Lonchura striata: one gene and its partners. The protein of the gene in region 2 purifies or fractionates together with the protein of the main gene of each other region. This does not show direct contact. Links are inferred from orthologs where the notes say so. Each region holds a gene or a part of one and is shown on either strand. Other genes may lie near its edges. The genes, in order: CHD1L, APLF and LIG3.

Region 1 (10,105 bases), on a different chromosome or scaffold from region 2:
CATGGCAATGATGTTCTTGGCTACCTGGGATGGCGTCAGCTTCCCACTCCTACAGGACAGGAGAAGTTGGGAGTTTGTTATAAGACCTCCCCTCACATATCCACTCACAGGGTTTGTCTCCCATGCAGCAAGATGGCAGCTGTCACAGCTTTTAGCAAGAATTAGGTAAGAATCTCTGTGTGGTGATGATCTGAACACTGTTGACAACATCAGGACAGGAGATTCCTTTCCTTAAGGGGATAATTTGCCTACACAGAATGCTCCTTAGAGGAGGGGAAAACCTAGGTGAGTTTAACCTAAATGTTCCTGAACCACCACAGATAAACAGGGACACACAGCTGACAGCTTGACAGTCCTCAAGCTCCTGAAAGCTTGGAAACTATGAAACTCCCAATATAATGAGCTAAGACCAAGAGGTCAGACCCCTTTATACAGGCCTCCCATTACACAGAAGGGGCTGCCAGCAGTACTGTCATAACCCACCTTTAATAAACCTTCCTTCCCTCCTGGCAAAGACTGCTACACCACAAACACACCATTCCTGGCTGACACAAAAGCCTCACAGCCAAGATGCACCTGTAACAGCAGACTGCAGTGTCAGCCCTTTGCTCCAATGCCACAGCCTGGGCAGAGGTGGCCCTTGAGGAACAAGTTCTAGGAGTGCAAGGATATTTTTCCAAGGGCTCCACTTCTGGCACATGCCCCAGAGGCAACTAGGATTACCAGGCAGCCAACAGCTCACAGAACCCCAGAGTCAGGGGGGTGTTTTCAGCTCTTTCCAAGCTGGACATGTTTACTGGGTGAAAGCAGGTGTCATGCTCAGAGACGCACAGGGAGCTGGGGAACCAAGGGATTCATCAGAGACCCACAGTATGCACAACTGGCATAATCCAGATCAACCCTCATCTACTTCTCACTCATGTTTGAGTAAACAAGATATGTAGAAATCTCTCTCGAACAAGACTGACAGAGAGTAAGCCAAAGAAAATGGTATTTAAATATTCTTGCAGGGCTTATAAAGCTGTGCCAGCTCTCCCAGATGACTTTCCTTTGTTATTCTACTAAAGGGAAAGAACAGCAGGAAGTGATGATAAACAATGGCACCTCAAGGACAATGCTAACAAAGAGATTCCTGAGAGCCTGTGGAACAGTGGCAGCCCACAGCAGAGAAACATGTGGGATAGGTTGTTTCCAGACCATAATTTCACCTACCGGTAGCATTCCAGATAGTCTTTGATCTCTTTGAAGCTAAACCCGTTCCTAGCAGAATCAGACCTGCAAAAGAAAGGATTAAAAGGTGTAACTGTGAGCCACCAAAGCCAGGTTTGTTCAGACCTGTAGACTTCAGCATCACTGTCCAATGCAGATTTGGGTACCATTCACAGTAAACCACGTGAATTGCTAACCCCTGCATTGCCCCTCACACTCTGTCAGACTCCTTGCACACAAGCCAGGCAACAGGCACACTATGGATGCCACAGAAATAAGGGACCAATTTTGCCAGAATGTTCTAGTTTCTTCATATTCCTACTGAAATACAGCAGTCATTAAACTGTTCAAAATGTATTCCAGATTTACACTTCCTACTCACCACTACAACACTATAGCCTAGCTGGAATATACTTTTGAACCTACTCCCAGACCTCTGTCAAAAATTCAATCCCGAGACAGCCAGCAGCACATCTGGGTGTGTAGTGCAGGAGTGGGAAAAGGCACCATGCAGCACACACAAGCAAACTGCTTCAACACCAAATGGCTCTAGCACATAAACAGTAGGCCACTTCTCATCACTAACAAAGCTAATTTCTTGTGCATTATTTTCTTTAGAACCTGTGTTCCTTCTCTCCTCCAAGAAAACCTGGTGTTCTCTTTGAGATTCCCTGGAGGCTAGAAACAGCACTCCTGTAAAGTCACTTAGAGAAATCTATTTACTAACTAGCCAAACACTAAGTGTACCTGCTGTAATCGTGCAACCAGAGCCCTGGTAAGGGCAGAATTTGGTCTCTCCCCAATAGACTTTTCTCTTTCGCATTGCTTGTAATTGCTGGTGATTTGTAAGTTACAAAAGGCAAGATGACTGACAGCACTATTTGTTTTGTGAAGTGGCTGGGCATGGAAACAAGAATTTAATCTAAATTGCTGACAATGACAGCTTCCCATTAAAGTACCACTGCCAGCATGTGTATTCATCTCCACTTCTCTCTTACACATCACATACTGACCTTGCATCTGTCAGCTCCTTGATAACATCTGAAGGGCTTTTAGCCTCAGACTTGTCTTCTGCAACCCCCGCAGCAACCTCCGGGATAAACGTGGGATCTTCATGAATGTCAAGGGAACGCATAAGCGAGAAGTTGTTCATTCTGAATAAGAGAGAATCACTGCTGGAGTTTTCAACCTCAACTATGACTAATTTTTCAGACTGTTCAGAAGGAACCTTACCCAAGAACATTTTGTCTTAGCAGCCTGCTTTCACAGCAGGGAGTTGCAACAGCTACAAGCTAATCTCTCTTGCATATTTCCTAAGGGCAGCATCAAATCTATTCTGCCTGTTTAACAAAGCCTCCTACCTCTTGATATAAGGCTCTTGACATAAAGCTCTGTAAACTCGAGCTGGGAAAGAAACGGTGGAAGTTTTTGATTCACTTTAATTAGACCTCTCATACACAGACCAAACAAGACAGGAATGGAAAGGAAAATAAAAGAAGAATGTAGTGTAAGCCATACATTCAACCACTAATCCTGTTAAAACAAGCACCTCTTCAGACTTTTCCATTTCCTCTTTCAACATAATTTGTTTGCAACCAAATACAACAGGGCTTGCAGCATAAATCCATAGCAAAGCAAGGAGATCAAAACCCTGTCACAGGTATCCAGGAATGATCTGCAGTATAATAGCAGTGACACTTGCCTGGATTTGATTTGCTCAAAAAGCCCACATCCCAAGTCAAATTCAGGGGTGACACAGTTCTCAGTGTCCTGGGATCTGCACAGATGACCCTTCAAATGATGGGCAAACTATACGAACAAAGCATGAAGAGGTTCCTGAACCTCTTACCCAAGTATCTCTTCATGGAATGTGTTCTTGAAATCAGTTTCTGAACAAAAACACATATGAAAGAAAGAAGAAAAGCTGACCTAAAACAAGAGAACATAATTAAAAAGAACTCACCAAAACCTCTGAACTTTATGTCTGGCCTCACTTTCTCACTACTACTATTCTTTTAACCCTATCAGTGATAAGAACAGCATATTTGCACATCCACCATCCTTGAAAAAAAGACTGTCCTTTAACAAAAGAGCAAAGACAAAGAGACATGAAGGCAAACAAAAGGCAAAAAGAAAAGCTGATGAATACAGTTTCTATGCACCTGCATGAGTGTGAAAAAAGCTATTTTCTTCTCATAGAGACCCACTCAAATGACAGTAGTTAAAAAAATAATCTAGCAAACATCTATGAAGTAATCTTATTCTGTAATCAAATTATGCAGCTCTTCTCTTTAAAAAATACAATTTCAGATAACCTACAAGCAGTGTGCAATGCAAATACCTTAAACCTAAAAAAATAAGAAACTCAGAGTGGGAGAAAAGTCCCCATGCTTACCTCATTAAGAATGGCAATAAGCAAATCTGCCCAAAAGCCTAGGAAAAAAGGAAGCAAAAATGTTGGTTTGCAGCAACTTTGACCTGACACCTTCTTTCACTAGATAAGGAATGCTGAATATGCTCATGATTGCCACAGGCTCAGAGTACGCTAGAGAACATACAATGCTATGCAGTAGAGAAACAGCACAAACATTTGTATTCTACACCAAAAAAATGGCCTGAAACACTTTCCCTCCACTGCTCATATTTATATAATTATAAAAAGAGTATTCTTCTGATTCCTCTGCCTTTATCTTTCCCTGCATCTACAGAAAGCCTGCATCTGCAGATGCAACACTGTTAAGAAGCATCTATATAGCTCCCATCCGTTATTTTCATCATGTTCCACAGATTATGCAAACATTGGATAAGGTAGGAGCTTATTATTTTATTTACTATTAGGACCTTGCCTATCTCTCAACCAGCTCCCACAGTAACATGAGTCAACTTGGAAAAGTGTGAGAAATTTAGAAACTCTATGGTAGCAGACAGCAGAAAACAATCTTTCCATACCCTGGCTCCCAGAGTAGCAGCATCAACAGTCCCAAAGAGACCAGCCTTGTTCTGGCCTGTCTTAATATCTTAACAATGGACTTCAGATACATGTTGTACGATGTACAAATACAGTACAAGTCTGAGGCAAGGCTCACACTGCCAGTCCCACAAAGCAGCACGTCACCTCACGCACTGCATAAGAATTACAGACCTTTTTGAAAACACATGGTTCCTAATCTACATCTGACCTAGCACAGCACAATCCAGTAGGAAAATTAACATCTCACATTCCCCTTCAAGTGAGGTATTGGGAAAGGAAAGAAGCCCTCTGCCATGCATCAGAAGCAGCCACAAAACGAAAGACAACAAAGTACTCTGCTTATTACATCTTGACAGAAAGCCACTCCTAAGGTATTCTCACAAATAAACACAGCCCATCAAGCATTTCACGCCAGGCCCAGACGGACACCAAGCTTTGTAACAGGTGCCACGGCTGAAAAGAAACTTTTGTGCCTACTTCGCTCAAAAGGAAAGGCCGAGCAACAGCAGCAGGCATAGACCCAGCTGCTGCCAGCAGAAGCAGGTGCGAGGTGGGCAGTGCGCAGGGGATGCAGACTTTTGTCCCCTCTGCACCACGACACCGAGAGGCCCAGTGCCGCAGCGGGATCAGCCCGCCGGCTCCCGGACATCCAGAGCCCAGCCTTGGGGAGCGCCGCTGCCTTCAGCAGCCTGCAGGGACCCCCTCACAGGGCTGAGGGACACGAGTCCTTCGGCGGCCAAGGAGCGCGGCCGGCAGCTCTCTTCCGAGTTTGATGTCAGCTTTGGGCTCTCCACACCCGAAGACACACAGGACTCTCTCAGCCAGAGGCCGGCGCTCGCAGTGCCACGGCACCGCACCTATAGAGCCCGGTGAACCCGAGAGCCCGCAGAGAGCCACAACCACCGCGGCGCGCCCCGGAGCCCCCGCCCGGTTCTCCCCGCGCGGCCCCGGGTTTCACTGCCCCGGCCCGCACTCACCGTGTTAGCCACATGGACGAAGAGGCGCAGCCCGGCGCCGCACAGCCTCGGAGCCCACTGCGGAGAGAAGGCGAGAAGCGAGGTGAGCGCCGGCCCCGCCGCCCCGCGCCCGCCGCCCCCCGCCCGGCCCGGCGCTCACGGTGTCCCGGGGCGGGCCCGGCGGCCCGGCCTGCCGCGGCCCCCGGCGGTGCAGCACGGCCGCCGCGCCGCCCGTGTGCCGCCGCCCGCAGCACAGGTAGGCGGCGGCGGCGGCGGACAGCAGCGACGCGAGCAGCAGCAGCAGCAGCAGCGGCGCCATCGCGGCGCTCCCTCGGGCGAGCCCTCCCGCTGCCGGGGCGGAGCCGGGGCTGGCCCCGCCCGCAGCCGGGCTCGGGCGGCGGGAACGCGCGGCGGAGCGGTGACTGACGCCCCGCCATGTCCCGCTTCTCCCGGGCGCTCCGCCGCGCCGGCGGCGCCCGGGCCGGGGCTGCGGGCGTGCAGGAGGCGGACGTGCAGCGGTGGGGGCTGACAGGTCAGCGGGGAGCGGGGGAAAGGGGCGGCAGGGAGCCTGAGCGGTGCGGTGCTGTCAGAGGTGGCGGGAGGGGCCCGCGCTGCCTGGGGCTGCCCAGCTCACTGAATGGCTGGCGTTGGAAGGGGACCTTGAAGATTATCCAGTTCCAACCCCCCTGCCGTGAGCAGGGACGCCTCCGTCTAGACCAGGTTGCCCAAAGCCCCATCCGACTTGGCCTTGAGCACCTCCAGGGATGGGACATCCACAACTTCCTTGGGCAACGTGTTCCAGTGGCTCACCATCCTCACAGTAAAGATTTTTTTTCCGCTAATGTCTATTCTAAATATATTCTGTTTCAATTTGAACAGATTCCCTCTTGTCCTGTCACTGCAGGCTCCTGTAAACAGTCTTGCCCATCTTTCCTGAAAGTTCCTGAAAGGCCTCAAGTAGGTCACCAGGAAACCTTCTGTTGTCCAGCCTGGACAACCTCAGTTCTCTGAGTTGTCTGAGCTCTGTACTAACACCCCCCCTAGGCTGGAAATAAATAAAGGTGCAAATAAATTGGCTCCCAAGCGTGTCAAAGTGAGCTGCAGTTGCTGCAGAGATGGCATTGCTGCCATACTCTGTGCCAGCCTTCCCTGGGTGCTGTAGTCCCTCTGCCTGGCTTTGTGGCTAGGTGGTGTTTGGGCCAGGGCTGAGCCTGGCTTAAACCCTCCTGGTGCCTCCGCACAGCCTCAGGCAGCTCTGTGCTTCGGGGATAAGGTGAGCAAGGGTTGGCCTATTCAGTGGCCTGGAAGTGGATGTCAATTAAAGTGCTTTCGGCTGCCTGGAGGGTGATGTTAAAGGGGAACGCCAGGGCAATCCATCCTGCCCACACATTTTCCTTAGGTGCTGGAAGTCCTCACCTCAGTCCCTGGGCTGGTTTGGGTTTGTGTAGCCTGCGGGCTGGTGAGTTACTTCATGCACGCAGTGTGCACATTTTCCCAGGGAGGAGAGGGCAGCAATGCCAGAATACACAGCACTTGAGTCCAAGCACAAGGAAAGGTCTTGCCAACTCCTATGTGATTTGTTTTGTATTCATTTTGACATATCATGCCCCATAGTAAGGATTGCAATGGTGGTAGTAGTCATAGTGGCCTATAGTGGAGGTCTGCTTTGGCTTTAAGTAGAGAAAAATGGAAAACATCTTGTTAAGAAATTATTATTATACAATAATAGATTGTGAGAAGTATTTCTGGTAGCCTAAAGCATGTCCCTGGCTCTAATACTTACTTTAATATTTTAAAAAGTGATTCAGGCTGAAAATTAAGCTTTCTTTTAGGAATGCAAAGTACCAGCCTAATTACTAGGTCAGGTCTTTTGCACAGTCAAGGATGGCTCCTTGACTGCCATGGCTCAGGGCATTTTTGTGCAAGTTTCTGAATATACTTTAATTTAATTGCAATTACATTGGGGTCTTTGCTATCCAGGAAGGTAAACTAGCTTCTTCTGAATGCTGCTGTGCTTTTCCTGTAAGGCATATGTTCTGGGCAGGACCTGTTCCTAGTGTGTGTATGGAATGCATTAAGTGACTGTAAGTGTAACAAATCACTTTTATTCCCAGGCATTAAACTTCGTCCCTATCAATTAGAAGGTGTAAACTGGCTGGTGCAATGCTATGAAGTCCAGCATGGCTGTATCCTGGGTGATGAGATGGGCCTTGGGAAGACTTGTCAGGTGTGTCTTCTTCTTCTGGAAAATTATCTTTGCTTAAATTTTTGGGGTTTTAGCTTAGTATTTCTGCAAATTGAAAAAGTACCTTACTGATTCCCCCCCACTCCTTCAGAATTCCATACTCAAGTGAGAGCTCATTGTCTCTTTCAGTCCTTAACCACTTAAAACCAGTCCTGAGTTAAGTCCTGTGTAACACCAAATGGGTTTCAGGGTTTTGTAAAAAGACGAGTGGCCATTTTATCCAAACATCTTAATGCATAATTCATAGTGTGCAGAGCTGAAGGCACAATACACAGCCAGTACAGGCAAAATAATGTCCTTTTGATGCACTTGCACCAGGGGGTTTTTGTGTTTGTCAGCATATGGATTAAAATGTATAAGTCTAATTTTTTCAGAAGTTTGTTGGATTTTTTTAAAGTTTTTCAGTGGGTTTAAGTTTTTTTGGAAAATGACTGTGCTTTGGATCAGCTGATTTTATTCAATAGGGCTTAAATTACAAATAGTTTTAGAAAGTGATGCATGGTAGACCAGGTTTGTGACTGTGCAAGAAAGGGGCTTCATATATGGAGGTCATGTTTTAGGATTTAAGCCTTTTTGTCTGTATCCCACTTGATATTCTCTTAACTCTGATTTGTGATAATGAACCTATGGAAACTATCTGCAAAGCTCAGCAAGGAGACAGCTATGTAGGATCAGGCTATCGGGTTGAACCCTTCCCTTGTTATAAAAAAATATTTTCCTTGCCTTTTAGACCATTTCTCTACTTCTTTATTTGACAAAAAAGTTATCAAACAAAGAGAGATTTCTGATACTTTGTCCTCTGTCAGTTCTGAGCAACTGGAAGGAAGAGCTGGAGAGGTAAGTTTCAACAGTTGTCTGGTTTACTGTATTATTGCTCATACTTGCAATTGCAAGGTTTGCAAGTTGCAAGATTGCAGAGATTGTTTTCAAATGTGCTCACTCCAATACTTCCTTTTTATCCTTTCAAAGGGAAAGAAAGTAAAAAGGGAAGCTGCTACTAAGCCAACAAATCAATGCAGACTATGCAGTTAATGCATAGTCTTTACAATGCTGTGGTATACATGAACCCATCCATCCTATATTATTGGCTGACTTTCAGTCTAAATGCTTCCACTAGCTCCTTGCTTTTTATTGATTTGCAACCCTCCCTGCTCAGCCTCTCTTAGGCAAAATCTGCTGAAGACAGCTAGGAATCTTCATAATAAAAGGTAAGACCCAAGTTTGGGGGCATGCTTACATATGCACACAAAATACATCACACACAATACATCAAAATACATCACAGCTGTGCATGCAGCCCATCCTCACTGGGGTGACAGTGCTGATGTGTATCTGCTGTGCCTGAAATATGTACATTTCTGGTCTGTAGCCCACAGACTCTTTGTAAGAGGAAGGGCTAGAAGTTAAAGGTTAGAACAGAAGTCTGTCTGTGTGGCTGTCAGCTGATGCTGTCTCTCTGCATCTGAAGTCATGCAGGTTACATTCTGAAGTGAGCTGGCCTGATATGGATAGATTTTGGGTTGGAATAGTTGGGAGAAACTGCAGTCCTTCATAGATCAACAGTGCAGCTTTCCAGAAGGAGTATTAGGTAAATAATAGTGATGGGATTAAATTAGGAGAAATTTTATGGTCCCTACAATTGGAACTGATTTTTGACTGAGAGAATATATTTGAGACCCTGACTTGGACCTCTTTGCTGCAAACATTTTTGTCTTTATTTTAGAATTATTTAGGCCAATTCTTTGGCCTTATATGGGCCAACTGTATTCATTCACCTGCTTCTTATGAACATTTTTCAGTTCAGAATAGCAGTTAGGTCATGAGACTGGTTTTGAATCATCTGCCTTGGACTCTTACACCTAAAAGAATGCAGGTTTATTTAGGACTTGTTGAAACCACAGCCAACAGTGGAAGTGCCAACCTGAGGTGAAAATTATGGAGGAGTGAGATTCAAAAGCTGAGAGCCAGACACATCTCACAGGAGTGTAGGGTGTTTGGACAGGAATTCTCATCATCTGTGCAGTGAGGTCCAGGGTCATAAACACATGAAAAGACTTAGCTTGGCTCACTGTTTTTTCTGTCTTTCTCTTAACAACAGGTTTGCTCCTGGTCTTTCTTTCATATCCTATGTAGGCAGCAAGGAAGAGCGACCCAAACTGCAAGAGAATCTGAAAGGGGACTCTCACTTCCCTACACTTCTGACAACATACGAGGTACGTGATGCCTTTGTCACTTGAAAGGGGGACGCAAGTTTTTCTAGCCTTTTTTATTCCTCTGTACCACCCAGTTCATGCCTTGTTAGCCCACAAGTTTTCTCACTTTTACACTTCCAATTCTCTTCCCCCCTCTTCATGGGTGGGGTGTGAGTGAGAGGGTGTGTGATGTTAAGCCATGACATGCTGAAGGTGTCATGTAACTGTCATTTTTCTTCCTCAGGTAGTAAGTGCCTTCGTTCCACTCTGCTCCATTTCACCATAGTTTGCAGGCAGACAGAAAAATGCTCTGTTTCTTAACTGATGTATTTACTTAAATCACAAATCACAGTCCATTTTCTTTCATTGCAGATTTGCCTGAAAGATGCAGCATTTCTAAAGTCGTGAGTCTGGTTTTAATTTCTTTGAATTTAAGTCTGGATAGCTGTCAATGATTTCTTAAGTGGATATTTCTATGTGTAAGACTCTGTGTTGTTTCACAAGAGACAGGGATGTTATTGGCTTGTGATCA
Region 2 (9,294 bases):
GCCAAGGTGTGAGGGTAGCTAATGCATGCCCTGGGTGGTGAGGGCTTTACACGTGTGGTTTTAGCTGCTGAGCACACTTTCTGGGGAAGGACACCCACATGAGTGCTAATTTAGGTACAATCTTCCTATTTCTTGCATTTCAGTGGCTTTTGTTGGCAGAGCAGAAGGGGCAAGAGATGAGCCCAAACCAGGAGGTGCAAGGAGCACAGAACTGGATGGGATGTTTTTTAAGGGAAGGGAACACATCCATCCTGCAGCAAAGATGGGAGGCTGAGTAGAAGGTGCAGGGGCAGAGAGAAGAACAGATGATCAGATATGATGTAATGAAATCTCCAGGGGGAATTAAAACCCTTAAAGGAAGGAGTCAGAACGGGGAGAGGAAGAAAACCTTGTTTTTATGTGGATTTGCAATTAAATACTATTTTTTCCCCCTCACTAACAGATTTTTCACAAGAATTTACACCACTGTTACTCCAGCTTTAAAGATGCAGGCCTTGTGTAATTGCATAGCTGCATGTTTAATTCCTTGATTAAAAGAGGCACAGCCACCTGATTTCATCAGAGGCACAACATATATTGAGGATTCTTAATGCTTATTCAAGAATGGGGAAAAGCTACAGCCAAGTGCACAGTGAAGTAACTTTTAGGATTCATACTTGAATATTATTCTATTTACAAACGCTATCCTGAGACAAATACATGAGAATTTACAGCAGAAGAGCATGAGAGGAGCAGGAATAGGGGATAAATGTCAGGGAGTTACAGACTGGAGGTAACAGTGAAGGCTGGATGAGAAAGGTGAGGGACCAGATCCATTATTGTGCAGTTTCCCTATGTTATGATTAAAAAACGGGGCAGTTTTGAGGTGAAGAGAATGTACTGCTAGAAATGTTTTCTTCTTTATTAACTTAGATGCACTTTTTACACTTTATACTCTCTTCAATCAGGGTAAAACATTCTGTGAGCAGGGAGTGAAGCAGTACCCTCAATGTGCTTGGGTGTGCCTTTTTCTGCTGGTTTTATTTTTTCTTTAATTTGCACTAACAATCTTGCAGCAGAACAGCTAACAATAGCAGAAGCAGTGTTTGCAATTGATCTTTTTGCTACATCCTCTGTATTTAGGAATGCTCTTTACTCTGAGTTACACTTGTTGGAGGTTAGGATTTTTCTTTTTTTTTTGTTTCCCTTTTTCTCTCAAGGATTTTTCTCCCGTCTATTGCCTAAAAAATTATAATAATGGTACTTAAGAGAGACAAAACATGTAGCCAAGGGGGAGGGGGTGCACTCTTATAGGTGAGGAGTTTTTTTCCTTTGAAAGGGGGAGATTTTAGTGAGGGGCTGGGCTCAGCTCCTCGTTCTCTCGTTTTTGGCTTGGAGGGGAACGAGCATTGCTGCCCAGAGGATTCTTTCCAGTGTCTGGATTTGCCCCTTCCCCAGCCTACTTCTGTAAGCTCTCATGTGCTGCTGATACAATACATTTCATATCAAAAGGTCAAACACACCTTAGGGTGGGTTTTTTTTTTTGTTTTTTTTTTTTTTTTGTTTTTTTTTTATAATATAAAAATCATCTCTTCCAAAACAAAAAGTGCAAACTGAAACGATAATCAGCATATTTTTGACAGTGCAGTAGAACATTAAATTTATAAATATAAATTACAACTGAAGATTTAGTTGCCTTTAGAATTTTGCATAAAATTAATACAGTAAAATGCAAATTAAAAAAAAGACACCCGTAACTTTCTTTTGGAGAAGTTTTCATCATAAATTCATAATCAGTTCAAAATCAGTTTCACAACTGCTGAACGGTGTGACTGCTATTGGCAAAAGTTTTCTGAGTTGCAAGAATCAGCACTGGTTTATCATCTCTCAAGTTCTGCTTCCAAGATTTCTCCCCACGTGTCGACATCCATTGGATACATGCTTTTGTCTGGCAAACTGAATTGAGAAGGAATGTTGCTGTATTTCCCACTTAGCCATTCTTGCTTCACTTTGCTTTTCCAGTAGTTTCTCAACAGTGTAATCTGGTGGAAAAACATAGAGACAGATCTCAGAAAGGAACCAATTTAAAATGCAATCAATATTGCAAGATTATACTAGAAGAATAGTGCTGGAAAAGGGATTTGTAATGTGCCTTTGGGATTTGGAATGTGCCTTTGGATATCTAGACCTTAAGCCCAGGAAGGTGCAATGCTGCCGAGAAGCAGAACATGTTCCACTTCCAACTTTTCTGTTCCTGCCTCAATTCTTTAGTGGTCAAGATGAAAACCCAAACCAGGAATTCCTCTTACTCCTTAAAAAAGGCACCTTTCACTTTCTGTTTAGGTTGTGACCTTTCTTTGGTTTGGAGGCCGGCTGGGTTCTTTTCTTCTGCCAGCCTTTAAGGGCAAGAAAATGTAGACTGGGTGTGTTTGTAGATTGTATTTCAAATCCCCTCCAGATAAAACTGACAATCAGCACAGGGAGTTCTGAAAATTGCTGTGCTAGGGTAGCAAGATCTGTACACTGAAAGGGTAACCACTATCTGCTCATGGCTCTGCCTCATACTGCAGAAAATTTATTGAAATGTCAGAATCCAGTGGCTGCTTTTGTTTCTTTTGCGGCTGCTTCTCTCTTTTCACCCCTCAAACACACCAGCTTAAATAAGGTGGGAGATTACCCTATAGCTGGCCCAGAGTAACCTGTGGAACCAGTGACCTGGTCTACCTGATCAGGTTCTGATCTATCTCAGCTTCCAGGCTGGATTCATCAGTGAGAGATCATCCAGCAGGTTCTGAAGCTGCACCTGCTGCAAACTCCTCAGAGCAGTCTGCATCTGGGGCGATTTTCTAAAAAGTTTATAAAAACTCCTGCTCATTTCTGTTGCTATAGGACACGAGAAAGTACAACATGAGCCACTGCGATGGCAAGGTAAAAAAGAAGGTTTATTTTCTGACTCCAACTTTTATACTTTTTTAAAGGTGACAGTGGATTGGAGAGTGAATGGGCCACCTCTCCAAAGACATTGGACAAACTACTAGTATGTCAACTTCCTCTACTCTCACGAAGGAATGTAAAAGAATATGTTGTTTATAGAAAATGTGTGGGAAAGTTTTCTAACAGAATGTAAACTCAGAAGGCTTTAGAAAATTTTAAGAATCAGGGTGACACATTTCCTTTTCTAGTCCCTTTTTTTTTTTTTTTTTTTTTTCTTTTTTTTTTTTTTTCCTGAATGCGTCTCACTTGAGATGCATTGAGACAGCGCTATCCAGGATGCTTTTTCAGGAAGTCTTTCCTAACCAGCAGAAAATACAAAAGACAGAAAATACAACCAGAGAGCAGACGCTGCCTATCGGAGTTGAGTCCATTCTCCCTGCCTGCGGGAATGTGGCCTTTGCCCCGTGAAAGACGACTAATGCGAGGCGGGCAGGCTGTATCCCGGGTGGGAAAAGGGCCAGCCTTGCTTTATTCCCAGTATATTCATTCCCAGCTGTCCGCCTGCCGGGATGCGCTCCGGGATGCGCTCCGAGCCACGCTGCGCGCATCCCCCGCCACCACCCCGGGACGGGCGCGACAGGCTTGATGTCACTTCCTTGCACTTTTCCATTGGCCCTGGGCATCCTCGCCCGTGTCGCTGCCGGCGTGGGGCGGCCGGAGGCGTTCTTACCTTCCAGGAGTAGCCGTGCCCGCGGTCGCAGTCGATCTCCCGCTGGCAGACGGCGCGCACGGCCAGGCAGTGCTGCCGCCACAGCCGCTCGCTGCCCTCGATGAGGCGGTGCCAGCCCTTGCACGCCACGGAGGCGCGGCACAGGCTCTCCACGTCCAGCCCGCTGAAAATCCGGCAGCTGATCTCGGGAGGAAGGGCAGACACCAAGTCGCCCGCTCCTCCTCTTCCCCCCTCGGCGCTGCCGCGGTCCATCCCCGCGGCGGCGAGGCGTCACTGCGGCCCCTCCGAGCGCGGGCGGCCGCCGCCGGCAGCGCCGTGTGCCAGCCGCCCGCCTGCCGCCATGTCCCGGGGCGGGCGGGCCCGCGGGGCGCTGCCCCCGGCCCGAGGCTCCGCGCGTTCGGCTCCGCGGAGGCGGCGCCGCCGGGCGGCCCGGGGAACCGCGCGTCACGGGGCGGCCGCGCGTCATCAGCCGGCGGCGGCTCCCGCGGGGCTCGGCGGCGGCTCGGTGCCCGTCCCGGCGGGGCTCGGCGGCGGCTCGGTGTCCGTCCCGGTGGGGCTCGGCGGCGGCTCCGTGCCCGTCCCGGTGGTTCCCGCGGGGCTCGGCGGCGGCTCCGCGCCCGTCCCGGTGGCTCCTGTAGGGCTCGACAGCGGCTCCGTGCCCGTCCCGGTGGTTCCTGTGGGGCTCGGCAGCAGCTCCGTGCCCGTCCCGGCGGTTCCCGCGGGGCTCGGCGGCGGCTCCGTGCCCGTCCCGGCGGTCCCTGCCGCCCTCGGCAGCATCTCCGTGCCCGTCCCGGCGGGGCTCGGCAGCACCTCCGGCCCCATCCCGGCGGTTCCCGTGGGGCTCGGCAGCGGCTCCGGCCCCGTCTCGGTAGCTCCTGCGAAGCTCGGCGGCGGCTCCGTGCCCGTCCCGGCGGGGCTCGGCAGCACCTCCGTGCCTGTCCCGGCGGTTCCCGCGGGGCTCGGCAGCAGCTCCGTGCCCGTCCCGCTGGTCCCTGCCACCCTCGGCAGCAGCTCCGTGCCCGTCCCTGCCACCCTCGGCAGCAGCTCCGTGCCCGTCCCGCTGGTCCCTGCCACCCTCGGCAGCAGCTCCGTGCCCGTCCCGGCGGCTCCGGCAGCCTGGAGGTGAGGCCGGCCCGGCCCCGCTCAGGGGTTCCGAGGGCACCGCTGGAGCCCCGAGGCGGCTCCGGCGCGGGTGGAAGGGGCAGGGAGAGCTCGGCTCCAGCAGCGGGGATGTTTGGGAGTGGAGCATCTCTCGTGGGAGGAAAGGCTGGGGGAGCTGGGCCTGATCAGCTTCGGAAAGAGACAGCTGAGAGTGGACCTCATTCATCAGTATAAGTGTCTAAAAGTGCCAAAAGAATGGACCGGGCTGTGCCCACCGGTGCAGAACTATGGGACAGGAGGCAGTGGGCAGATACTGATGCACAGAAGTTCCACCTGGCTATAAGGAAGAACTTCTTTACTGTGCAGTGGCTGCACGTGGAACAGATTGCCCAGAGAGGCTGAGGAGTGGGAATATCTCTCAGTGGGATACTCCAGAACCATCTGGATGCCATCCCGTGCCATGTGTTCTGGGATTACCCTTCTTGAGCAGGGAGCTGGGGCTGGATGTCCCGCTGTGGTTCTGCTGAACCTCGCCCATCCTGGAGCTTTGTGAGACCCTGCAGAGCTGGAGGAATAAGGCAGAGCTCAGCCTTTGGTGCTTCTCTTCTCAGGGTGACAAAGAGAAAGTTCAGCTGGTCAGTGTGTGCTCTCTGCAGTACAGCAAGTTCTGGAAGGGTTGGTGTCAGAACTCAAAATGTCCCTCAGACATTTCAGGAGGTTCCAGGACCAGGTCAGAAGCATTTGAGACCCTGGCAGGCAGCTGCAAACAGCTGTGATTTTGGGTTTGAGCTGTGGAACAGTTTACCAGCCTGGCAGGAAGAACAAGAAGTCACAAAAGTTTAGATATTAGAGTAGAAGTAGTTACAAAGTAGAGGGAAGAATTTTTGCGTGCTGTACAGGGGGGTTTCTGTTTTGTACATGGGGGTCAGAGGTTTTAAGATGGAGGGATTTGGGCCTGCCCTGTCCTCCCTCTTTCTTCTTCCTTACCTCCATGTTCTTGGTGATGTTGGCACTCACAGATTGGTTTAGAGTAGAAAAGCACCATTTAATACAGGTAATAGGCATTGGGGAAAACTGTGAACATGTAACATGTAATGTACCATATAAAAGATAGAATATCACCATTTAATATAGGTAATAGGCATTGGGGAAGAACTGTAAACATGTAACACGTAATGTCCCATATAAAAGACAGCAGCAGCCCTGGGTGGGAGAGAAGAAGCAGTCGGGAGTCAGAGAGGATGTCAGGGTGTGTGTGTGCCTCTGCCTGAGCTGTGAGCAAACCACAGCAGCCCAAGGAGAAAATCTTTTAGATAACTTGCAATAAACTACCATGAGACCAAACAACAAGAAACTGCTGAGCCTCTCTTTGGAAGCACGGGTTGGAGGAGAAGATTTTTTCACCACACAAAGCCACCCCGTGACTTAGGGTGGTCTTCAGCAGGTTGGCAGAGACACCCCAGTGCTTCTCTGCAGGCAATACTGCACCAATTAGACTCGTTTTCCCCTGATCTTTTGTGCTGGTGCATTGAGTAGTGTAAGGGCAACGTGTTGAAAGAAAAACAGTTACAGTTTGGGTGTGCTTTCATAACCTAAAAAGCTTTTTAGACGTAGTGGCTCTGAACTGAGGCTTTTGAGACTAGCACCGGTGTATCTAGTGTCTCCTCGATAGCCTGTATGGAGAACTTGCTTGATTCATTGGGCATCTGGTCCTGAAATCCTAAAATCGTTGCCTGACTTTTAGGATTGGATCAGATTTTGGGGAGTTGTGAAGATTTACCATAAAGCAAATTCTGAGATGCAGTTTCAGCTTTCTCAAAGTTTTGTCATGGCAGCAACCAGTGTAAATTATGTACTTAAACCCCAAAACACCACAGTCGTGGTCGGCAGTTATTAGAGAGTCTTTTGGTCAAAACTTTAGGTGTGAGGTAAAAGGAAGGTGCATTTATTTCCTCTGTAAGCTGATGCTAAGAGGATGTTGATGGTCAGTTTCAAACTGCATTTGTTAATGGCAAACATTCAGACCAACTTTTGTGTTTGAGTCAAAAGTGCATGTTTATATTTGCAGCGTGTGAGTAGATAAAATCGTTTTTTGTTTTGTCAGAAAAAAATCAGGAGGCTGATGCAGAAGCACCAACTGTTCATGCTGTTGAGATGTCCTGTATTCCATTGTTAATGGAACCAGCATGTTCCAGCTCTGAGGTAGAGGGAGCCGCAAAAATGAGGAATAATGATGCTGCCTCCAGATTTTTGGTGGGTGTTTAAGTTTTTAATGAAGTTTAATATTTGTAAGCATGTGTTGGAAGTTAAGGAGGTGTTATGTTCTCTATACAAATGAAATGTCAGCCTTTGTTGTGGTTGCGATCCTGGGGGTGGACTTGCTCAGGAAATCCAAAAGGATAGTGTTGTTTTCAGTAAATAATGAATGTGACTCAGAGATTTAGAATCTGATTACTTTCTGGAGAAATAAATTGTAGCAATGCAAAAAAGACTTTTATGTTTGCAGGTTTTTGCCTTTTTTTTTCTTGGACAAATAGGCTTTTGTTAAACTTGCTCTTTCTGTTTTATATATGTAGGGAAACTAGAGCAAGGTGGTGGTAAAGCTCTTCTATGAATCCTTCAGTTTGTAGCCTTTTAGATATTTATTCCAAATATCTAAGAATATTCTGTTTTATTTTCTTTTGTTTTTACTGCACAAAGTTTCCTATAAATGTTGTTTTTCTGAGTGGATGGAAACTGCAAAAAAAAAGTAAAATACTTGAGCAATGGCCACCATACAAAAAGTAGGTTGTTACCCAGGCTGCTTTTGGAGGACATAACTGAGTGCAAACTGTGGTCTGGCTTCCCCCCACTCTTCTGTAACTGGATAAAGGCACTAAACAGTAAATGTTCTTTCAGGTTCCTCTGTCTGACGATAATGAAAGCAAACAGTCAAAATCTATTCAAAGAAAGAGAGTGCTTCCATCCTGGATGTTGGAAAGAGATCTTCTGGTGCAGAGGGTTTCCAAGCCTGTTCTGACAGGAGGTAGGTTTGTAGTGGGACAATGATTGCATTCCAGTGTGCATTTCTGTGCTTTGATACAATTTTTACAATTATAATGATGGTGATAGGAAGTATAATTTGCTACTTCTCTTTCCATGCTCTATGTGGGGCAGCTGACAAAGTCTGACTTCTGTTGTCTCCTTTGTCATCAGTCCTACGGGTGTTGTAGAGCTCTTTTTTCATCACTTAATTTTCATTCTGTTCTTTTTGTTTTTAATGCCAGATAATAAACTCTGTTTGTACAGCTGAGCATTGGATGTTCAGGAGCCCTTTCCTACAAACTTGACTATTTTGTATGTAAATTCTAAGTAGTTTCTGTCTCTTTAATTCCTAGCCTTCTCCACACTGATGTTTTGCTTTTCTAAATTTAGATTCTTAATTTCACAGGTTTTACAGGCAGAAGGGTTTGGGTGGTGTTGCATGTTAGTTTTTTAATCATTGCTGAATAAAACTTGGTTACTTAGTCCAAACTTCAGTGTCTTTGCTGATCAGTCCAAGTGCAAGAACTGTGGCTAGTGAGTGTGTGTCTGCTCCCCTCTGTGCAGCATCTCTACTCTAGTGACTCTTTCCAGAGTTTAAAAACTGGTTTTCCTGTTTCTGCTTTTATGCATTTGGATCTTAATATCCAAGCAGGCCCCCAGGAGTGTGCTATGCAGTGTCTGGCCAGCTGCTTCTTCCCTCCTGTTGTAAATACAGGTGTCTGTGTGCACTGATGAGGGCAGCTGTGTCTTTAAACACCTCAGTCTGTGTCCTCCACCACACTGCCTATTCTTTTCATCTAAAGCTAGTTTGGAAAAAAATATAAGATGACAAAGAAAAACTGTGTTTCAGTATTTTTTTCTTTCATCCTATCTAGACTTTTCCCTTCTGCCATATTTATATAAAAATTGCATGGTGTTGAGTGCTGTACTGGTGTGATAGTTTTCTTATGTTTGTGCTTTTGTTTTGTATTTTTGGGAGAGTTGGGATTTGTTTGTCCATTTGTTTGTTTCTCTGCCAGTCTATAACGTTTGTTATATGTGTGAATATAATGTTTATTTCAAAGACTGAATGTTTTGGTTGTGTTGGTGTTGAGATTAGGAGCTGTGTGGGGGAGATGTATCTGAAGGCTGACTTGAGGGAACTTGGGATGCATGCAAACATTGGAATTGTTTAAAAAGCCTTTCTCACAACTGCTGCTGTTTCTCATGCCATGTGCCCAATGTTCTGCTTTAATAATTTCTAGTGTCAGGATTTCACTAAAAAGTTGCATTCCAAAAGTACCCTTTTTCTTTTTTTTTAAGGTAGCAGGAAGAAAAAAGGGCAAGGAAGGGGAGAAGGTCATACAGAGTCATTCAACTCAGAAGTACATGTACAGAAGAAAAAAAGATTGGCTTCTGAAGAAACTATAGAGGACCTTGAAGATGGAGAGCAAGATCAAGGGAAAAGGAGCTGCCTTTCCATCCCTGTTCACTCATCTCAGGTAACTTTTTGGCTCAGGGCAGAATTTTGGCTTTAAGGTTAATTG
Region 3 (10,288 bases), on a different chromosome or scaffold from region 2:
ACCTGTCCAAGTGATTTGGACACTCACTTCTCATTAGTATTAATAGCAAATGAGCATGAGCATCTCCTCAGTGCCTTTGGAAATCTCTGACACATTTTTATTTTGGTGGCTGTTAAATGACTCTTTGGGCAATCTGCACTAGAAATGACAAATTTCCCGTTTGTTTTTCTGCACCCGGATATTCCTAATGCCCACGTACCAAATGTCAACATTTTCCCTCAAAAAGACAGCTGAGATGTGGTGAGAGGGATGGCAGAGACAGACTTTTGCCGTGTTTGGATTAAAGGACAAAGTTCACATTCCAAAACTGTCTCCTCCACAGAGGGCTGCACAGAGCAATTTTAGGATAACACCACATTCATTGTCATCTTTTTGTCACCGCCCTAGGCGGGGATGTCACTGCAATGGGAGCAGGGATGCAGAGGAGCTCCGTGGCTCTGTGTCACAGGCACTGAATCACGGCAGGCCCTGGAGAATGGAACAGGAGGGAAGGAAAGGTGAACCTCTTTGGGAACACCTGGTCCATGCCCTGCAGCAGGGAACAGCTGCTCCTCTGAGATTCCCTCACATTTTCACTGTTACACCTTAGATCACATCCAGTCGCTCTCACTGTTCCGGGAAACACTAAAAAGAAAATGGGAACTGAAATACAGCTAATTATTTTTTTTAAACTGACAGCTGATTATATTACCAAACTGAGGGAGCAGGAGGAGGCTTGTAAGAGATTTCACTCCTGTTATACCCAGCTTCCACTTTTCACCCCCACAAAAGGCAGAAGAAAGCCTTCCAAGCCACTTCTCCATCCAAAACAATGCAAATCCCTTCAGACTGGACCATGGAGCTTTTCCTTTCCAAGCCCTTCCTAAAGTCAGACTTACCAACGAACATAAATGCAAATAAGTAACTAATACTGAGCTCTACAAATCCATTTTACATGGCTTCTTGATCTGTTATTTAACTGACATGCCTTCCCTTTTTGCCAAACGTATTTCATGCATATATGTCTGTTTCCTATAATCTTTTCCATTTCTCTTATCGCTTGTATTTTAATAAAACCACATGTACAGATTCAGTATCTTCTTTAGCAGCCAGAGAGGGAGATATATTTGTTCACTGGGGTTATTAAAATTCTAAATATCTTCCTTCTTTTATTTGATTTTAGTGAGATTCCAGACATTTTCTCAATACCAAGAAGATTGGATTCATTGGAATATAACTCTGACAGAAGTCTTGCAAGGAAACTTTAATTTTAGTCCAAACTCCATTAATTTAAGATATCCCTAGAAGATCTGGACAAGGTGAACCTTTTTTTATGAACTATTTTCAACCCTGGTTTAGGATGAAGCTATTTTTTTTTTCCTTCTTAACACTGAAGAAAAAGCCTAAAAGCAAAACTTGAGACCATTATTTTGCTTTCATATATATCTTAATTCCTGACAGAACTCCTGATGGCCGCTTTGCTTAAGCAAGGACAGACTTAGACATTTAAATCTGACTTTTTGGGTGTTATCTTCCTGCTGCTAGTGGAATAAACTACTTAAAACAGAGTTCTGCTTTCGTGGGTGCCTCTCTACTGCTCTGTCATTGCTGCCTTTTGCATAGAGAGCACATTATGGTAAGAGGCTCAGCTCAGCAATTCCAGTATTTGCTACCAAGGGAGACTCCAGCAGTGATTTCTCCCTGATCCTTGGTGAAGGAGCAGGGATTTGTCTCCTGATTTTCCATCAGTGAACTCAGTGACCTGTGGTTTTGTGGATAGATTCACTGGACATATTGTTCTACTCACAGCTTTTTGAAGGTACATCCAGCCAAAAGGGGAGTTGAAGGAGTTCATTCCAATAAGACTCTAAAACCCAAAGTATTCACAGAAATCACAGAATGACTAGATTGGAAGATACCTTCAAGATCATTAAGTCCAGCCCAGCCCCAACACCTCAACTGAACCACGAAGTAATGTTAATTATTCCCCTTGCACACAAACCTTCCCACCCACAATAAGAACAGTGGATTCACATTGATTTCAGGGGAAGAATGTGCTTGCAGAGAACATTTAGGAGCAGTGACCAAAATCAGGGCCTGACAGGCCACTTGGAACTTTCTTATCACTTCTTAATGCCATCTCAGAGCTGTTAGCCACAAAAAAAGATGATAAGATCCAACTGAAACAGGGTAGATTTACAGTAGATATTGGAAAGAAACTGTTCCCTGTGAGGGTGGGGAGGCCCTGGCACAGGGTACCCACAGGAGCTGTGGCTGCCCCATCCCTGGAAGCATTCCAGGCTGGGTTGGACAGGGCTTGGAGCAACCTGGGATAGTGGAAGGTGTCCCTGCCCATGGCAGGGGGTGGAACTGCATGAGTTTAAGGTCCTTTCACACCCAAACCCTTCTATGATTCTACAAAGAAACAAGGTTCAACTTTCTACCAATTCCTTTGGAGCCACATTAGAAAATCAGCAAAATTAATGCTCTGGGCTGCAGAGTCTTCATCTCCTTCTCAAGAGGAGGAAAACTGGCATTGAGAGTGCACCAGCTTTGCTGCTGTCATTCCCAGGCCTCTCCAAAACAACCCAAACCAGCATTTGTGTGTGTTTCTCAGAGAGGAAATTTATCTAAAACTCCCAGTTTCTCACGGCAGCCTTCTGCCACCTGCCTGTGCTCGCTGCATCTCTCACTGCCCGGCCATCAATCTCCAGTCCTGCACCACTCTGCAGAGGGGCAGCCTCCTACTCCCCTCCTGTCCCTGCTGCCATGCAAACCCCTCCAGGCTGAAAGGAGCCAGCAGCAATTCATCTCACCTCATTGAGGCTTCTGAAATGTTTCTCTGCTGCCTGAAGGCTCTGCCTGTTTAGCTCATTTAGCTGACTTTTAGAGTTAGGGCAGCAGATCCCACAACTGCCAGGTTGCTCAGTTGCCTTATTTATTATTATATATCATTTAAACCTGATCATGAGGTGCTGCAGTGTCAGCCCTTGCCTTTCCATCTCTTTCACCAGGCTCACAATGAATGGGACACCTCACCACGGTGCCATGAACTCTGTGCTCCCAGCAAGCTCTCTCTGAACGCTGCACATCACAGCATCTGAACACCTCATCTTCACCTGGTTTTTGTTTTCTTCCCCTCTAAAATCCCTGTGTTCATACAAATTCCTGCACCCACTCACTGCTGGTTCTGTAAATCATTTCTCAAAGCAATCTGAACTACTAAAAATCAAATCACATTGAAGTCACACATTAAAATTTTAATCCAAATGCACTCAGCCAAAAATCTGGAGCGTGGTGGTCATCTGGGTGCCTTCCACATAAAGTCCAGAGCAGGAAGACCTCTGTGAATCCCTCTGCAATTCCTCTTTTGTGACTCAAAGCTCCCAGTTGGATTTGGTTGGATGAGCTTTCTTGTTTCTTTGGTTTTGCGGTTTCCTCCACTTCTGAGCCATGAGGGACAGGAAGGTTCATTTCCATCATGAGCTTATGGATTGAATGCATTGCCTGAGAGTAAATATTGCAATGTAAAATATTGCAAATGAATGCAGGCTGTCTGTGCACAGCCAGATCCCAGTGATCAGAAATGCCTATGTCGGATTTCATCCCAATTTTGTGACCAGGCACAATTGTTACACTCACTCCCAGCTCCAAACAGTGTGGTTTGTTTGATGTGCTGGGGAGAAGACTGCCTGTAGCTTGCTTTAAAACCAGCTGGAGGCCAGCAAAAAGACAGATATGTGGCTGGGGAAGCAAATTCTCTACCTTATGTCTCATTCTGCCTTTGAGGTCAGAGACTTGGCCATGTCAACCCACACAGCATCCTTTCCACGGATGAAGGTAGGAATCCAGTGGAGCTGTGTACTGCATCTGTTCCAGCCTCCTCAGCAGCCTCCTGGCACAGCACAACAGCACTTCCACCAGAGGAACAGGGGTGGCTGCCACCAGCAGAGAGCCAACAGCTGGGCTGCAGGTGTGTGTTTACCTGTACTGGGATGAAGGGCTGTTCTCAGGAGCCTGGGGTGGTACAGCAGCACCTCAAACCCACACAAACACAGTGCAAAGGACAATTTTAAGAGATTATAAGGGCAGCACTTCAGGCCTGTGCAGGTACTGAGGGCCCAGGTGATATGGCAGCATCTCAAACCTGCACCAGCATGGCATAGTACCCCTGAAGGGACAGCTTCATGAGGCTGGGGATAAAGCAGTGGCTCAGTGCACAAACACGGTGTTAGAACTCTTGGAGGGACCACTTCTATGGCCAGGTGATCCATCAGCACCTCCAAGCTGTGTTAATGCAGCACAGCACTCTTGGTGAACCAGTGTGCCTCAGCCAGGAACAGGGCACCGCTCACACCTGCCTTTTCCAGTACTCTGGAAAAGCCAACTTTGGCAGGTCGGGAAGTCATCATCACCTCAGGGCAGGGGACACTGCTGCAGTGGAGTCAGCCCTGTGGGGGGGACCAGCCATCACCTCAGGGCACGGACCTGGGACTGCCTGAGGCAGAGACCCTCCATTGCCGCAGGTGCAGAACCCCATTGCCTCACGGCACAGAGCGGGGCACAAACCCTCCATGGCCTCATGGCACAGAGCGGGGCACAAACCCTCCACTGCCTCATGGCACAGAGCAGGGCACAAACCATTGCCTCACGACACAGAGCAGGGCACAAACCCTGCATTGCCTCACGGCACAGAGCAGGGCACAAACTCTCCACTGCCTCATGGCACAGAGCAGGGCACAAACCCTCCACTGCCTCATGCACAGAGCGGGGCACAAACCATTGCCTCACGGCACAGAGCGGGGCACAAACCCTCCATTGCCTCATGGCACAGAGCAGGGCACAAACCCTCCATGGCCTCATGGCAGAGTGGGGCACAAACCCTACATTGCCTCACGACACAGAGCGGAGCACAAACCCTCCATTGCCTCACAGCACAGAGCAGGGCACAAACCCTCCATTGCCTCACGACACAGAGCGGGGCACAAACCCTCCATTGCCTCACGGCACAGAGCGGGGCACAAACCCTCCATGGCCCCAGGCGCTGTCCCAGTGCCGCCCCACAGCACGGACCCTTCCCCACCTCGGGGCGGGGAGCCGCTGCCAGCTCAGGGCACAGTCCCTCCATCGATCGCCTCATGGAGGGGGAACTCTCCGTTGTCCCAGGGCGAGGACCCGGTGCCACCTCTGGTCCTGGTCCCAGTCCCGTCCCAGGGCACGGACCCAGTGCGAATCCAGGGCACTGGATTCTCTTCCTGGCCCCAGGTGCGGTCCCGGTGCCACCTCAGGCACGGACCCGGTGCTGCCCCGGGCGCGCTCCCGGTGCCGCCTCAGGGCACGGACACTCCCTGGCCCCGGGCGCGCTCCCGGTGCCGCCCCAGGGCACGGATCCGGTGCTGCCCCGGGCGCGCTCCCGGTGCCGCCTCAGGGCACGGACCCGGTGCTGCCCCGGGCGCGCTCCCGGTGCCGCCTCGGGGCACGGACCCGGTGCTGCCCCGGGCGCGCTCCCGGCGCCGCCTCAGCCGCGCCCGAGGCGGGAAAACGCTCCCGGCGCGCGCTGGGGGCGGGGCTCAGACGGGCCGATGGGGCGTGGCCTGAGCGCGCCCCCGCGGCCGCCGCTCGGGCAGGAAGGGGCGGGGCCGGGCGGCGCGCGCGGCCCTACGGAAGCCGGGCCGGCGCGCTCGTGTCCCGGCGGCGGCTGAGGCGGCGGCCCCGGCCTGAGGGGCTGCGGGCGAGCCGGGGGTCCGGACGGGGCGGGGGACGGGATGGCGGCACCGTGAGGAGCTCGGTGAGCGGCGGAGGGGCAGCGGGAGCCCGTGGTCGCGCCGGGGAGGGCAGGGCGGGAAAGCGGGCTCGGGGCGAGGCTGTGGCGGGAGAGGCCTGGGAGCGAGGAGGGGGCCGTGAGGGGCCGGGCTGTGGGGCAGCGCAGCGCGGGCGGTGGCGGCCGCTGCGGAGCGGGGGTGAGGGCTGGGTTGGGCGGGTCCCGGCGGGCAGGGGGTGCTGAGTGTCGCCTGTGTCGCTCGCAGCAGCCTCGGCGCGGACTGGATGCCCGCGGGCGGCCGGGCGCTGTCACACGCCGCCCGCGCTCTCGGCCGGGCCGCAGCGCTGCTCTGCCCCCGCCCGCAGCTCCCCTCGGCCGCAGCGTTCTCCCGCTCCGCCGGAGGCAGCCCCGGGTGCTGGTGGCAGCTGCTGCTCCAGCCTGTCCCTGTGCCATCCCCGAAGCAGCGCGGAGGTGCCGGCGCGTCCCCGCTGCCGCTCCCGCTGTCCCCGCTGCGCTCGGCCTGCGCGGCCGCGGAGGACATGGCAGAGCAGCGGTACTGCGTGGACTATGCCAAGCGAGGCACGGCGGGCTGCAAGAAGTGCAAGGAGAAGATCGTGAAGGGGATGGTGCGCATCGGGAAGATCGTTCCCAATCCTTTCACCGAGTCCGGAGGGGACATGAAGGAGTGGTACCATGTCAAGTGCATCTTTGAGAAGCTGGACAAAGCCCGGGCCACTACTAAGAAAATTGAGGATATCACAGATTTGGAGGGGTGGGAAGAGCTGCAGGATGAGGAGAAAGAAACAATCAACAAGTACATCTCAGGTGAGGCACGAGGCAGTTCCAGGGTCACTTTCCTCCTTATTTTCAGGTTATGCCAGAGGTTGTTACCAGCTGTGCCTTTGCCATTAAATCCTCGTGGATTTATTTGTGTGGCTTAGGGACAAAACATGTGCTGCTGTTCCAGCCCCTGCCTCAGCTGTGTAAGAAAGGGAAGAAATGGTCACTTCTGCAGTGACACTCCTCAGTTCGTTTGTCACAACTAGTTCTGGACAAGAGCTATGTGATTTATTTCATAAGCAAATAAAACCCATGGTGAATCATCAGTTATTTTCCATTTCCACATTTTTCTGTGATCTTTAATAAATTACATATTCTTCTAACTTTTGTTACCTGAAAAACATCTTTTTTTTCTCCTCCAATTCCCATTTCTTTTAAGGCTTTTTACTTTGTAAGCCACATAATATGGTGAGTGATGTATGAGATTATTCCTGACTGCCTCTTTGAACCTTTCTGCTTTCCAGAAGCCAATTCCAAGACTGGAGGTACCCCAAAGAAAAAGGTGATAGTGCAGGCAAAACTCACTGCCACAGGACAGCTGACCACAAAAGATCCACCAAAGAAATTCTCTGGATTCAGTGGTAAGAATTAAGAAATGGTTCTGAGAAATTCATTTTTTTAGTCTCAGCATCAAGAGGTGTTTCTGCTTGGCTCAGATCAGTAGGTTTTTATCTATAGATGATTCTGGTTTGTCAGTGCTTTCTTAGGCTGTCAGTCTTGAAAGAACATCTTGAAAGATGTGTGGATCTCCAGTTTTCCCAAGGAAACAAAGGTTCTGCTATGACCCACATTGTCAGGCTGACTGGCTCATTGCAGTCAAACTGAAGACATAGGCTAAAGTTATCCCACGTGGAGCTCAAAATCTGGAAAAAAACTGCTGAGGGATTCTCAGTTGTGTTCATGGAAAACTTGTCCTGAGGAGCAGGACAGTCCATCTTCCATCTGTGAGCTCTGACTGACCTGACACCCACCTGGAGCCACAGCAGAGCCAAAGACATCAGTTCCTTAGGGATTGGTGTTAGGAGAGGATGGGGATGTATTCCCCAATTTTAGAAATTACCTTAGAGAAGTGTTTTGCTTTGAAGGCTAAAAACCCATAAAATAGAAAAAAAAATCTCTAAAACAGAGGCATCTGGAAGGAGAAATTAATTTTCACCATGACTTAGCCATACTTTTCTGGTAGAACCAAGATCTAGGAAATTCTGGTGTGATGTGAAGGGTAAAAATAATTGGAAGGTTTTTATAAAAGTCATAGTTGGAAGGTTTTTATAAAAGTCATAGTTGGAAGGTTTTTATAAAAGTCATAAATTTTAGCTCTGAAGCTTCGCCAGCACACTGGGATTGTTCCCAGCTTGCCAGGCAGAGATAATTTCAACATTTGCTCCGTGTTGTTAAAAACAACTTGTGGTGTGTTTGATGCAGCTAAGCCCAAGAATTCAGAAGATGCCCCTGCAAACCCTGCCCAGAAGCCCAGCCTGTCTGCAGCCAGGTGTGATCCCAAGCACAAGGACTGCCTGCTGCGGGAATTCCGCAAGCTCTGCGCCATGGTGGCTGAAAAGCCAAGCTACAATGTGAAAACTCAGATCATCCAGGACTTCCTCAGGAAGGGATCTGCAGGAGGTATGGCTCCAGCTGGGAATTCTCAGCTCTCTCAGAATCAGTTTCAAAGGCTGATCTCTAAAGGAAAGGGGAAATTCAGATCTGTTGTGTGGTCCTAGCCTTGTGCTGTGGTGATTTCTGAACTGTGGTGGTAATCTTTGAAAAGTGAACTCCTTAAATAGTAAATTCAGACAAAAATTACTCACTTGGGTGCTGTAGGTGCCAAATTTAGTGCTGAGGTCAGATTTAGAGGCAAATTGTGGCTATTTTCCCTAAGAATTCCAAGCTACAACTGTGGATTTTATCCCCAGGGTTTGGACACAGCCAGCCAGAGCCTGGACATGAAAATAAATCCTCACTGCTATAATGTGCTTTTTTTTTTTTTTTTCCAGATGGTTTTCATGGTGATGTATACCTCACCATTAAGATGCTGTTACCAGGTGTCATTAAAATAGTTTACAACTTGAATGATAAGCAGATTGTAAAGCTGTTCAGCAGGATTTTTAACTGCAACCAGGAAGAAATGGTCCGGGACCTGGAGCAGGTGAGTGCAGAGAGCAGCTCTCTTAATTTCTGCTGTTCAGCTATTTGCTTATTCTGTATTGAAATTCGGTAATGATTTAGGTTTTTTACTCCTTAGCTTGACTGTTAGAATGGGAGCTGGTGATTTATTTTGGTTTTCCTTGGCTTTAGCAGTGCTCATAGCATTTTCTGCCATCTGGAACCTGTAAAAAACCATGTTTGAATGGAAAGCAGGATAAGAATTCATCTGGCAAAGCTTTAGAAAGCAAGACTGAAATTATCTAGGCAAGGTGGGCCGGATCTCTTTGTATAAACTGCTTTGTCTGGCACATTGCTACAGAACTGAGTTATATTACTCTTTTTGTACCATCACATATCAAAACCTGGGATTCAATTAACAGACCTGTCACTGGCAGCTGCAGGTGGTTAATACAATTAAGCTGCTACAATTGCAGGTGCTCAGTTGCGCATTGAGTCCCTGTGCAGAGGAGCTGGTGATTGACTGTGCACCCTCTGATTCACTGCAAGGTGCAGAAAAGGGGTGAATTAGATAAAAAAGTAATTCTTTCATCTCTGTTCATTGCCTTGCTGTGTGCTGCCTTCTAGTGACATCACTAGCCTGGCCCACGTCCTTGGATTTACAAGTGGATTCATCCCGAGAAAATAAAGGGTCTATGCTGCTGCAGCAGTGAAAAATAAGAGCCATGAGATGATGCTGGTACTCTTAATTACCTTTCTTGGCAAATTAAACAGCTGAGCAGCTTTATGTGTCGTGGCAGCTTCCTTAAGTGTTTGATTCTGATTTCTTCATGCAATCCCAGCATCACTCCTATCCTTTGTCCTCACTGGAACCATGCAGAATCCCCAGTAGCACCCCCATTCTCTGGCCATTGCTCTCATCCACACCCTGGTGTTGTTTTTGGAGACAGGGAGATGTTTCTGAGACCATACGGATCTTCTTCGAGCAGAGCAAGACCTGTCCTCCAGCAGCCAAGAGCCTCCTGACCATCCAGGAGGTCGATGAGTTCCTCATCCAGCTGTCCAAGCTCACCAAGGAGGATGACCAGCAGAGTGTCCTGCAGCAGATCAGTCGCAGGTGAGGGAAGGAACCAGCCTCTGGATGTTTGCCCAAGCACTGGAGTGGTTCTCTACAAGCTGGAGTAGTTGAAAAATTAATCCTGAGTCACCACTGAACTTAATTAGTATCTGTAAGGTGCTGTTAGTGGTGTGATTGAGACACCTTGACAGCAGTGGAGAGCATTTATGGCTCTTGATCATGCTAGAGAACTTTGTCCCTGCCTGTCAGGACACTTCAGTCAAACAAGTGATTTGCAGTAACACCCTAATGGTGCTTAGCTGTTAATTAAGTTGCTGTTCTTAAGCATGTTGGGAAAAGCCTTCAAGTAGTTCAGACAAAGATTTTTGGTCTGGCTCAATTTGTGTTGATTTGAGGCTGAGGATTTTCCGATAGTTACTCTTGATGCATTAATTAATTAAATTTTGGAAGATACATCAACACTGAGGCAGAATTAATGTTGGCATCAAGATGCTGGAAAGCTTTTTGGATATTCCCTTCTGTCTCTGAGG

The links.
Region 1: the proteins of APLF (region 2) and CHD1L purify together in Homo sapiens (affinity purification with mass spectrometry; 4 studies listed by BioGRID and IntAct, counting the BioPlex papers as one, with this or other methods). This does not show direct contact. The link is inferred for Lonchura striata from reciprocal best matches to the Homo sapiens genes APLF and CHD1L.
Region 3: the proteins of APLF (region 2) and LIG3 purify together in Homo sapiens (affinity purification with mass spectrometry; 3 studies listed by BioGRID and IntAct, counting the BioPlex papers as one, with this or other methods). This does not show direct contact. The link is inferred for Lonchura striata from reciprocal best matches to the Homo sapiens genes APLF and LIG3.

Annotation. Positions count from the first base shown.
Region 1 is NC_134604.1:26,877,828-26,887,932, forward strand, and holds the start of CHD1L (chromodomain-helicase-DNA-binding protein 1-like), read left to right. Parts: upstream 1-5,534; 5' UTR 5,535-5,571; coding exon 5,572-5,668; intron 5,669-7,250; coding exon 7,251-7,363; intron 7,364-8,111; coding exon 8,112-8,218; intron 8,219-9,479; coding exon 9,480-9,594; intron 9,595-9,945; coding exon 9,946-9,977; intron 9,978-10,105. Other genes in the region: uncharacterized protein LOC110480871, read right to left, coding at 1-49, 1,213-1,275, 2,223-2,363, 3,605-3,642, 5,158-5,214, 5,297-5,455. UniProt on the Homo sapiens protein: ATP-dependent chromatin remodeler that mediates chromatin-remodeling following DNA damage.
Region 2 is NC_134605.1:3,026,894-3,036,187, forward strand, and holds the start of APLF (aprataxin and PNK-like factor), read left to right. Parts: upstream 1-4,649; 5' UTR 4,650-4,765; intron 4,766-6,848; 5' UTR 6,849-6,898; coding exon 6,899-6,997; intron 6,998-7,642; coding exon 7,643-7,769; intron 7,770-9,070; coding exon 9,071-9,249; intron 9,250-9,294. Other genes in the region: FBXO48 (F-box only protein 48), read right to left, coding at 1,860-2,021, 3,644-3,895. UniProt on the Homo sapiens protein: Histone chaperone involved in single-strand and double-strand DNA break repair.
Region 3 is NC_134622.1:6,056,322-6,066,609, reverse strand, and holds the start of LIG3 (DNA ligase 3), read left to right. Parts: upstream 1-5,661; 5' UTR 5,662-5,767; intron 5,768-5,973; exon of another isoform or gene 5,974-6,005; 5' UTR 6,006-6,024; coding exon 6,025-6,565; intron 6,566-7,044; coding exon 7,045-7,161; intron 7,162-8,002; coding exon 8,003-8,200; intron 8,201-8,571; coding exon 8,572-8,723; intron 8,724-9,630; coding exon 9,631-9,797; intron 9,798-10,288. UniProt on the Homo sapiens protein: Isoform 3 functions as a heterodimer with DNA-repair protein XRCC1 in the nucleus and can correct defective DNA strand-break repair and sister chromatid exchange following treatment with ionizing radiation and alkylating agents.